Drosophila melanogaster: one gene and its partner. The protein of the gene in region 1 interacts with the protein of each later gene in a biochemical or structural test. Each region holds a gene or a part of one and is shown on either strand. Other genes may lie near its edges.

Evidence for each region.
Region 2: the proteins of fln (region 1) and Mhc interact in far-western blotting, tested with the Drosophila melanogaster proteins (one study listed by BioGRID).

What each region holds. Positions count from the first base shown.
Region 1 is NT_037436.4:19,988,909-19,993,103, reverse strand, and holds fln (flightin), read left to right. Parts: upstream 1-1,883; 5' UTR 1,884-1,955; intron 1,956-1,980; exon of another isoform or gene 1,981-2,252; intron 2,253-2,364; exon of another isoform or gene 2,365-2,469; 5' UTR 2,470-2,473; coding exon 2,474-2,733; exon of another isoform or gene 2,734-2,799; coding exon 2,800-2,955; exon of another isoform or gene 2,956-3,017; coding exon 3,018-3,150; 3' UTR 3,151-3,553; downstream 3,554-4,195. Other genes in the region: Csas (CMP-sialic acid synthase), read left to right, coding at 4,126-4,195. UniProt on the Drosophila melanogaster protein: Possibly involved in the regulation of flight muscles contraction, possibly by modulating actin-myosin interaction.
Region 2 is NT_033779.5:16,764,730-16,769,911, forward strand, and holds the start of Mhc (myosin heavy chain), read left to right. Parts: upstream 1-2,004; 5' UTR 2,005-2,027; intron 2,028-2,196; exon of another isoform or gene 2,197-2,381; intron 2,382-3,047; exon of another isoform or gene 3,048-3,230; intron 3,231-3,854; 5' UTR 3,855-3,951; coding exon 3,952-4,155; intron 4,156-4,417; coding exon of another isoform or gene 4,418-4,561; intron 4,562-4,729; coding exon 4,730-4,873; intron 4,874-5,182. UniProt on the Drosophila melanogaster protein: Muscle contraction.

The DNA of each region.
Region 1 (4,195 bases):
AAATTGAAATTAAAGCTCTGCCATGAGCCAAATTCGTGCCAAACGGAAGGTAGTTGAGTTTTGAAAATGGCTAAGGTCATGGTCAATCTGGAGGCAATTAGTTCGGTTCCTGGAGAAACCCAAAACCCCATTTTGAACACGTATTTTGGAGTAAGATGTTGGGAACAAGGCTATTTTGGGATTGTGGGTCACAATCAGCGCTTGTTTCACTAGATGGCTGGTATACTTTGGGCCAGAAACGCGAGTGCGAGTGTCAATGCAGTTTGAAATCGCCTTTCGCGATGAATATACGCCGAATAAATGGAATTTTTGGCACACGCATACGCCTGCGTGTCACGTGGGGAAAGCACGGCCCGCGCCTACAGTTTTTTTTCCTGCCCTTCCTCCCCAGCGTTCGTTCGGTGTTACGGCCTTTTTATTTTGCACATAATATTCACACCAAATCGGGTAAGGGGCTCCAGTGGGCTCCAGCAGGGGGTGGGGGAGGGTGGTCAGCAGGGAAAGGCTGGCACTTGGACACCAATATTCCACATCGTATACCAAACCAAGTGTATGCGTTTCGAGCGGGGGTTTCTTTGGCGATGGCTTGCTACACAACTTGCTACACACGTTTAACTCCCAGTGGACCTCGGGTTCTCGCTTACATAAATTGGCACTGTTTTTTTTTTTTTTTTTGGAGCGAGAATTCGAATGCGAATTAAAATGCATTAATATAACCGGCTCGCACTGCTCGAACCGCTCGATTTAAATAAAGTAGTTTGTTGTTTGTGTCCATATGTGCTTGCGTGTGTGCGAGTGGGCATGGCTTTGTCACATGGTCCACTTGGCCCCAACGTACAATGTCCTAGGAAAACGATTTGCTTGCTTGATTTTTATTCTCCACACAAATTCGCCCTAAATTGTTATTTTTGATATTTACATATGTACATATGTACGCAGGTGCGTATGTACATATGTACGCACATGCAGTGTATATGCACGCAAAATGGGCTAAAGTGTGTATGTAGCTCGATTCACACGGGATTTTCGCCGCCTCGGCGGGAGGTGGGTGCGGTTATTACCTGAACGAAAATGACACATTGATTTTAGGCACATTTCTGCTACCCGCTAGGCTAAACAAAATCACTTTTCGCAAATGCAATAAACTTATTCGACCAAAACACAATCAATACAACAAATTTAGGGGTGGCTTAAATCGAGGCGATATATATACGAGCGCCTTATCGATGTGTGCTGCTGGTTTTCGCTTTTGATGTATCGATAAGTTAGGGCGATTGTTTTCACGCCGTTTAAACAAAATTGTTTTTAAATTAATTTCGGGGCTTTTAAGAAAATTATAAGCATGTATTTAAGCAAGAATACCAATACGGTTAGAGTATTAGTTAGATCGTAGATATAACCTATATAAATAAATTTATGAAGTGTTCCACTTTCGTCGTTCCCGTGATAGAGTAACGGTTCCTTTTTAAATAATTAAAATTCTTATTGGATTCATGATGAAACCAAAAAAATTTTAAAATAACAAATTTAACAATTACGGTGCGGATTTCTTATGTGAACATTTATCAACTAGGATTCATAATCTTTAGGCTTATTCTGGAAAAAGTTAACAAGTGTTGTAACTATTTAAAATTAAGTCCGTATAAATGAGCAAATTGTTGAAATCGATCAAATTGAGCTTAAAAGATTTATTTGACTACTTAAATTTGAATCTGCTTACTAACTTTTTCATTGTTCCGGAACTTTTGATGCTGAAATGTGAAACTATTTAGTACATAGGTGTTAATAGCGTTTCGGCCAATTAAATTTAGTATGTGAGTACGCATGCCAACCTTTGTATATAGATGTTGCTTCTCGATATATTTAGATTAAGTTTTCTAAGTGCATTTGTTTCGAGCAGCAGTTCGATCATTTAGTCTTTTTTCCTTTATATCAGTATAAACACTATAGTAAAGGTACGGTCCCTAATTTTTCAGTGGACCCAATGTCCTAGTTTTAGCTGCTAGAAAATCAATGTGAATCCCTTGAACGTCTATTAATAAGTCTATGATAAAAAGTCCTTTGGAAAGATAACAGTGATATGAGTGGTTTAAGAGATGAATCTATACAATTCAATCGATGAATGATGTAACTCATTATATGTAGATTATAATGCATTGAACCATTTAAATCGTCCTGAATTCGAAAGGTCTAAGAACGCCAGCTATTTGGGCGTCCTGAATTCCAAACATTTCCGATCAACTGCGAAAAAGGTTGTTTTAAGAACAAAATTGAAATTTAGGTTGTGTTGCAATGTTATGCAACGTTAAAAGGCCAACGTTTATAAAAAATAAGAAGACAGTGAATTTGTTAAAGTATCTTATTGTGATATAATAATATGATGATGGCTTACGTTACCTAGAGATCGAATATTGAAAGTGAATCTGTCTATGATAGATATATAATAATATTGAAAGGATTCCGTTTCAGTAATATGGCAGACGAAGAAGATCCATGGGGTTTCGACGACGGCGGCGAGGAGGAGAAGGCGGCATCCACCCAGGCGGGCACTCCGGCCCCACCCTCAAAAGCACCGAGTGTGGCATCCGATCACAAGGCTGATAGCGTCGTGGCTGGCACTCCGGCCAACGAGGAGGCTGCTCCGGAAGAGGTAGAAGAAATCAAAGCACCGCCGCCTCCGCCAGAAGACGATGGTTACAGGAAACCGGTGCAGCTCTACCGCCACTGGGTCAGGTTGGTCCTCCACTGTACTGTACAGCACTGTACCGTACTGTATCTTATGCAATCTGCACTTTTCAGGCCGAAGTTTCTGCAATACAAATACATGTACAACTACAGAACCAACTATTACGATGATGTAATTGACTATATCGACAAAAAACAAACTGGAGTGGCCCGGGAAATACCAAGACCACAGACGTGGGCGGAACGTGTCCTGCGCACACGGAATATCAGGTGGAGTAGCTAATCCGGTTTGTGTAAATATAGTAGTTGTTAATATTTGTTATCCACCTCAGTGGCAGTGACATTGATTCGTATGCACCGGCAAAGAGGGACAAACAACTAATTCAAACACTGGCGGCCTCGATAAGAACTTATAATTACCACACCAAGGCATATATCAACCAAAGGTATGCCAGTGTCCTTTAGTAAGCGCACCTAAATGTACCAATAGAACCGTCGGACGAACGGATGAGCACTCGTAGTTATATAAAGGGTAACCACCCATTGTCAAAAGATCCATACGTACATATGTGTATAGTCAGTCAGTAAGCGTTTGCATATCTGCGCATCTCAAAACTCTGTATCCTGAATCTGCCTTATGGAGTGGAGACCTTTCAAGAAAACGAATATTGTATATTTTTTCTTACATGCGTAATTTCTGTTAATATATTGCCATATGTACTTATTCATATATATTAACACAACTTACCTCTCAATACATGGTATTTTTAAGGTTATTTACTTCATTTTTAGCAAAGTGAGTAAATAAAACAAACCTATTTATATTGTAAAGCTTAAAATAAAAACTGTGCAATAAATAAAACTAAATAAACATTGATGTTTTTCCTATTCAAATATGACGGCAGGTATGAGGTATTCAAAAACTAGTGCTTAAAGAAATCCCCATGGGCATTTAAAAACTTTAACTTCATAGTCAAGCGCATGAGAAATCCATTTTTTATTATAATTTAAAACAAGATGAACGAAACGTTAAAACCCACTTTGGTGGACTGACTGGTGAGTACTGCCCTCCATGAACGAGTAAGGAAAATCAGAGTAGTCCAAAGTCCCCATAAAGTGTCTATTTGCATAAATCACAAGTGCAACCCCTCTAATAACACACAATAGGGTAAATTAGGCTATTGTGTGCGTTTGAATTAGTACAAGTACATTTTAGAGTGAACTAATCGCAAACTAAATTAAATTATATTATTAAATCACAAAAGAACTCAAAATAGAAAAGGATCACGATCATGAAAAATACTTTAAATATATTCTGTTTTTTCAATATTTTGTGTACTTATGTTATACTTACTGGCTCACCCTAATACATATATCTTATATGGGCGCCACGATTTTTCTTTTTATTTAAATTTCGACCTCAACCAGAAGCACAGCGCAATGATAAAACTGAAACCGGCCACTTTTCTTATTTTACTAGTTTTTCTTTTCGAAACCGGGTGCACGGAAA
Region 2 (5,182 bases), on another chromosome or scaffold:
GGAAAATGTTGGTGGCCCACCAGTGCCAAAATACACAAGAAGAAGAAACAGCATCTTGACACTAAAATGCAAAAATTGCTTTGCGTCAATGACTCAAAACGAAAATGTTTTTGTGCTTTTCGAACAAAAAATTGGGAGCAGAATATTGGATTCGCTTTTTTCGCATCGAATATCTTAAGGGAGCAAGGGAAGAACCATCTAGAATAATAAAGAAGACCAAAATGTATCGTAACTAAAGGTTTTTTTTATTAATTATTAAATGTTAAATATTAACTTATACCAACTCATTGGCTTTACAAGTACAACAAATAACCCCAAAATAATTTATTGTCAGGTGCTAAATTGTTGTTTGTTGTTCTTGGAATTTGTTTTAAATGCTCAATTTATGTTTTTGTCTTTTTGCCCACAATTCTGCTCGACAATGTCACAGATTTTGTTTCAGAAACTTAGCAAAAAGTATTATAATTTTATATGTGAGAAAAGACTAGAGAGCAGCAAACCCTGCACCGAAAATAAAGGAAAAAAACACTCACACTTGAATGAGAACTGAAATCTTTTTCAAACTATAAATATTCCTCAAAAAATGTTTGAAAGTTGTTTTTGTCCGAATTCATGAGTTGTTTTTTTGCGTATTCTTTTTCCGCTACACAATAATCATTGTTAAATATTGAATATTCAAGACGGACCAACTCATTACGAAAAGTATTTGTCGAAAATACCTTGCAGTGGGTGTATATACATTTATCATATAATTCTTTGCCAAAAATGTTGCACATGAAATTTTGTAATTTTGCTTAAAATTATGAATAATTTCTGTGTCGGAATTTGACATCGTTGTAAGAGGGGAGACTATTTCAATTCTGTTGGCATTTATCATAATTCTCTTTGTCAGCATTATAGATTTGATAAATTCTCGACAAATCGCTACAACACGAATTTCATAATGCACTCGTATTTGCAATCGTATTTGTATTGGATTTTAGCATTGAAACCTAAAGATTTTCGCATCGCATTGCTCTGAAGGACGCCGACTACATTGATTTGATGTGGCATTTCTCTGTCTATCTATCTATATCTAAAGTATCTCTTCAACTATGTGTTTTATTTCGTTTTTTTTGCGTGCATTGCAATTGCTTGCATGTTCTAGCCCATCTATGTTATTTTGAAGTTCACATCATTACTTTTGGCGGACATGTGCTTGCTATGGCCGATCCTTAGGCTAGATAGATCATCAATCATTAACTCAAAGGATCGGGTTTTTTCGTTCTACAACTGAACGATGACCAAACGAATGTTTGTAGCCATTGATAGCATACGATCGGTCTTCTCGAACAGCTGTTTAGCCACTGATCGTAAAGTGATCGCAGATTAGGAGGAAAACCACATAGCGCCGCCTGATCGCAAGCATTCCCCCTGTATTCCACCCACATTGGTGCCAGATCGGATTGGCATTGAGGTGACCAAAAACCAAAACCAGAACAAAAAGCGAAAAATGATCACCGAGAAAAACAAATAAAGATCCCACCATGCCATGCCATACACACATGTGTGCGTCTAGAAATGATATGTGAAATAAGTAAAAAGAAAGCTCCCCTTGGAAAGAGCGAGGGATTCCGGCGGAGAAGAATTGCCTCACGGCGGAAAAGTTGTCATTGAAATGAATTTTACTATTTGACTAATGGGAGAATTGCGAGAGAGCCTACGCAATGGCAATCGTCGGAGAAGGAGCTTTCCGCTCTCGATTCCGCAACGATCCTGATTGCATCATATGCTCACACATATACCATATCCACCATCCCGCAATCCCCCATAGAAATGCCCACTTGCTAGAGAAGAGGAATAGGAATCAGAGCAGCCAAGTGCTAGACCGAAAAAGGGAGCAAGAAAAACCGAAACAGAAACAGCGCCACGCACACCGATCGTCGAATCGAAAAGCTTTCGGGGTCTTACGGGATCCATGGGTATCAAGTTGCCCCGTATAAAAGGCAAGTTTACCGGTTGCACGGTTCAGAACGGCTTTCGAGCGCGTAAGTGCAACACCTTTGATGTGCGATCTCTGATTTTTGGATATTACCACCCAGCAGCAGTAGCGGTAGCAGCAGCATCAGCGGCAGCAGCAACAATTTGACCTTTTGGTCAAAAAGCATAAAACTAAAATAATTATTACTACCTATATATATTTATATATGCAACAAAATCGAGAAATTTAAAAAAGTGTGTGTGTGGTGCTTTAACTACGATCCGAGCGAAAACGGATCTATTAAAACTCTGTGACAATCAGAACAGTGAACCGGAATACCTCGGATTATCGTATCGAATTGGATTACAAATAACAATCTTTTCTTAGGAAGTACATCAGTTACTTAACATAACCTATAGGCGTTAATTTGTTTTCTGAGAAGTATGCAACTATCTTCAACTTCTTGTGTAACAAATCTTTGACTTTCGATCATATCAGCGAAAAAATCTGAAAGTGAAGTAACAAGGATATAAGGAAACTTCTTTCTTACTTTTAGGACTCTCACAAAAAACTAGTTTATCCTTTCTCGCCCAAGAATTTTGGAATAAAAGACTTTCATCGTTCTAAATTTCGACTACTTAAAAAATTCTAAAGCAAATAGATCATTTAAATGTCAGAAAGAGACAGCCAGCTGTTACTTCATCAAATGAAAAATTCGTGTTTCGATGTGAGTTCGAAATGCTGTAATAGCCATTTCGAATTACTGGCGAAATGATTTCATACACAAATACCTGTGTGGCCGAGACATATGCGTATGCATACTATAGAAAATAGATTTAGAATACTCGAATTCGTTGTCGGCTCATATACATGGGCGAAATAATTTCGAATATGTTTTAAAAATAACCAAAGACATTAGAAAGAGATCGCCAATACTTATACATTATGTCTATGTGTGCCATGTGGTAGCATGAGCCAAAAAGCTTCTCGAAATTACGAATTACATATAGACGAATATGTATGTGACTTTAGTTTCGAAATAATTTCGAGAATTTTAAAAATAACGCATTCGTTAAAAGTTCGCGTCAATTCGAATCGAATTTTCGATTGTCGATTTAGTGTGGATTGTCGAAAATCGTTCCGCCTTCGAAGTTTACTGAAAGGAATCATTGCGATCTCGTGAATTGCTTGTATGAGAACACGCCACCATATCGAGATACCTGTTCAAAATATCGAAATCGCGTTCCAAACGGTAGTAGTTACCAGTTGAGTGAGTTGTGGTGACAGTTTAACCTCTCTACATTTGTAATAATAAGCATTGTTTTGGCGTATCAATAGTCTGTAGATTTTTTCACAAAGAAACCTGGAGAAATGTACACAAATATCTAAATGAAAATTGGCGTTACGTAACAAATACCAACGCCCCGAAAATCCGTATATATGCAAAGCATTCTGATATATATATATATAAGTGGTATACATATACATATTCGTATCGGATCCGTGATCTATATTTAGGCGACAACCCACACAATTCACTTGTTGTCTGTTTATAACAAAAACAACAACACAAGCACCGACCAGGCCTAATTAACTTTGAGGTGTGAGATAAAATCAAAGCCACACATAAATAAATATCCGGTTACGGTAACGGGAATTTCGAAAGCGCGAAACGGGAAAAATGTTCATATTTGGAAATCGAAATTAAATTTCGAAATCCTATCCACGCACACACGCGTAGAACTGTTATAGTGTCCGCTATTGCTGCTGCTGTCAAAATGGGTCAAAAGCATAAAATCCATAAAAGAATCAGACTTCGAAACAAAATTCCAAAAATAGTATGCTTTTCTGAGAACCATATAATAAATATTATTTTTCTTTTGTATATTTACAGGGAAGTTTTGGGCTCACGACGCGATTAACAAAGAAATTTTGAAAAGTCCCAATATTATTTTTCGAGTTTTTAAGTTTCTAAACGAAATTTAAGCAAGATGCCGAAGCCAGTCGCAAATCAGGAGGATGAGGATCCCACCCCATACCTGTTCGTGTCTTTGGAGCAAAGGCGTATCGATCAATCGAAACCCTATGACTCGAAGAAGTCTTGCTGGATCCCCGACGAGAAGGAGGGTTATCTCCTTGGTGAGATCAAGGCCACCAAGGGCGATATCGTCTCCGTTGGTCTGCAGGGTGGAGAGGTAAAGTCATCGTCTACACGAGGCTTCAGCATAAAAAAAAAAAAAAAAAAGCTATTGAAGAGTCTTATGGTCGACCTAAAGTGTTAGTCAATTGTTACCCAATGGGAAAATCTTCTTGGTACTACTACTACTACTACAAGAAGGGTTTTTCAATGGATAGCATAAGACTGGGACTTTGTCATGACCTCATACACTTCAATAGCTTATAATGTAGCCACAAAATTAGAATGAAACTATAGATTTCGCCTACATATACGATTAGGTACGAGATATCAAATCCGAGAAGGTGGAAAAAGTCAATCCACCAAAATTCGAAAAAATTGAAGATATGGCCGACATGACCGTGCTTAACACTCCTTGCGTTTTGCACAATCTGCGTCAGCGTTACTATGCTAAGCTCATCTACGTAAGTGTTGTACTGCCAGAAACTCACTAATGTATGGGTATCTCTTCTCTCTCTCTCTCAATCTCAAAAACGAACTGCTAACCCAACGTCTAACCAACAAATGTTGTACAAAAACTAAACATAACCAATCGAACTGAATCCGACAAACCGAACGAAAATGATAAACAGACACGAGACTTAAAGAAAGATCTGCTCCAGCAAGTGAACCCCCCGAAATACGAAAAAGCCGAGGATATGTCCAACTTGACATACCTTAACGATGCCTCTGTGCTCCATAACTTGAGACAGAGATACTACAACAAGCTGATCTACGTAAGTAATTGCCGATCAAGGGTGGCACACAAGTATGCGTTCTATGTTCTTACCCAACCGCTTATCTACCGCCAATCACTCACACTTATGAAAAAAAGAAAAACATCCCAAAATTTTTCAAAATTCGATTAGAGCTGCAACTAGTCTCCGAAGCTTTGAAGTATTTAACGCAATTGAGTAGACTGCTAACCTTAGTCATTCGCTCCTTTTTCGGACTTATGAAACTCATTTTATTAAGCCCTATGAAAAAAAAAACATAACCCCAGCTAATTCCTCATTTCCTGTGACGTATGCACTAATCCAGCTTGT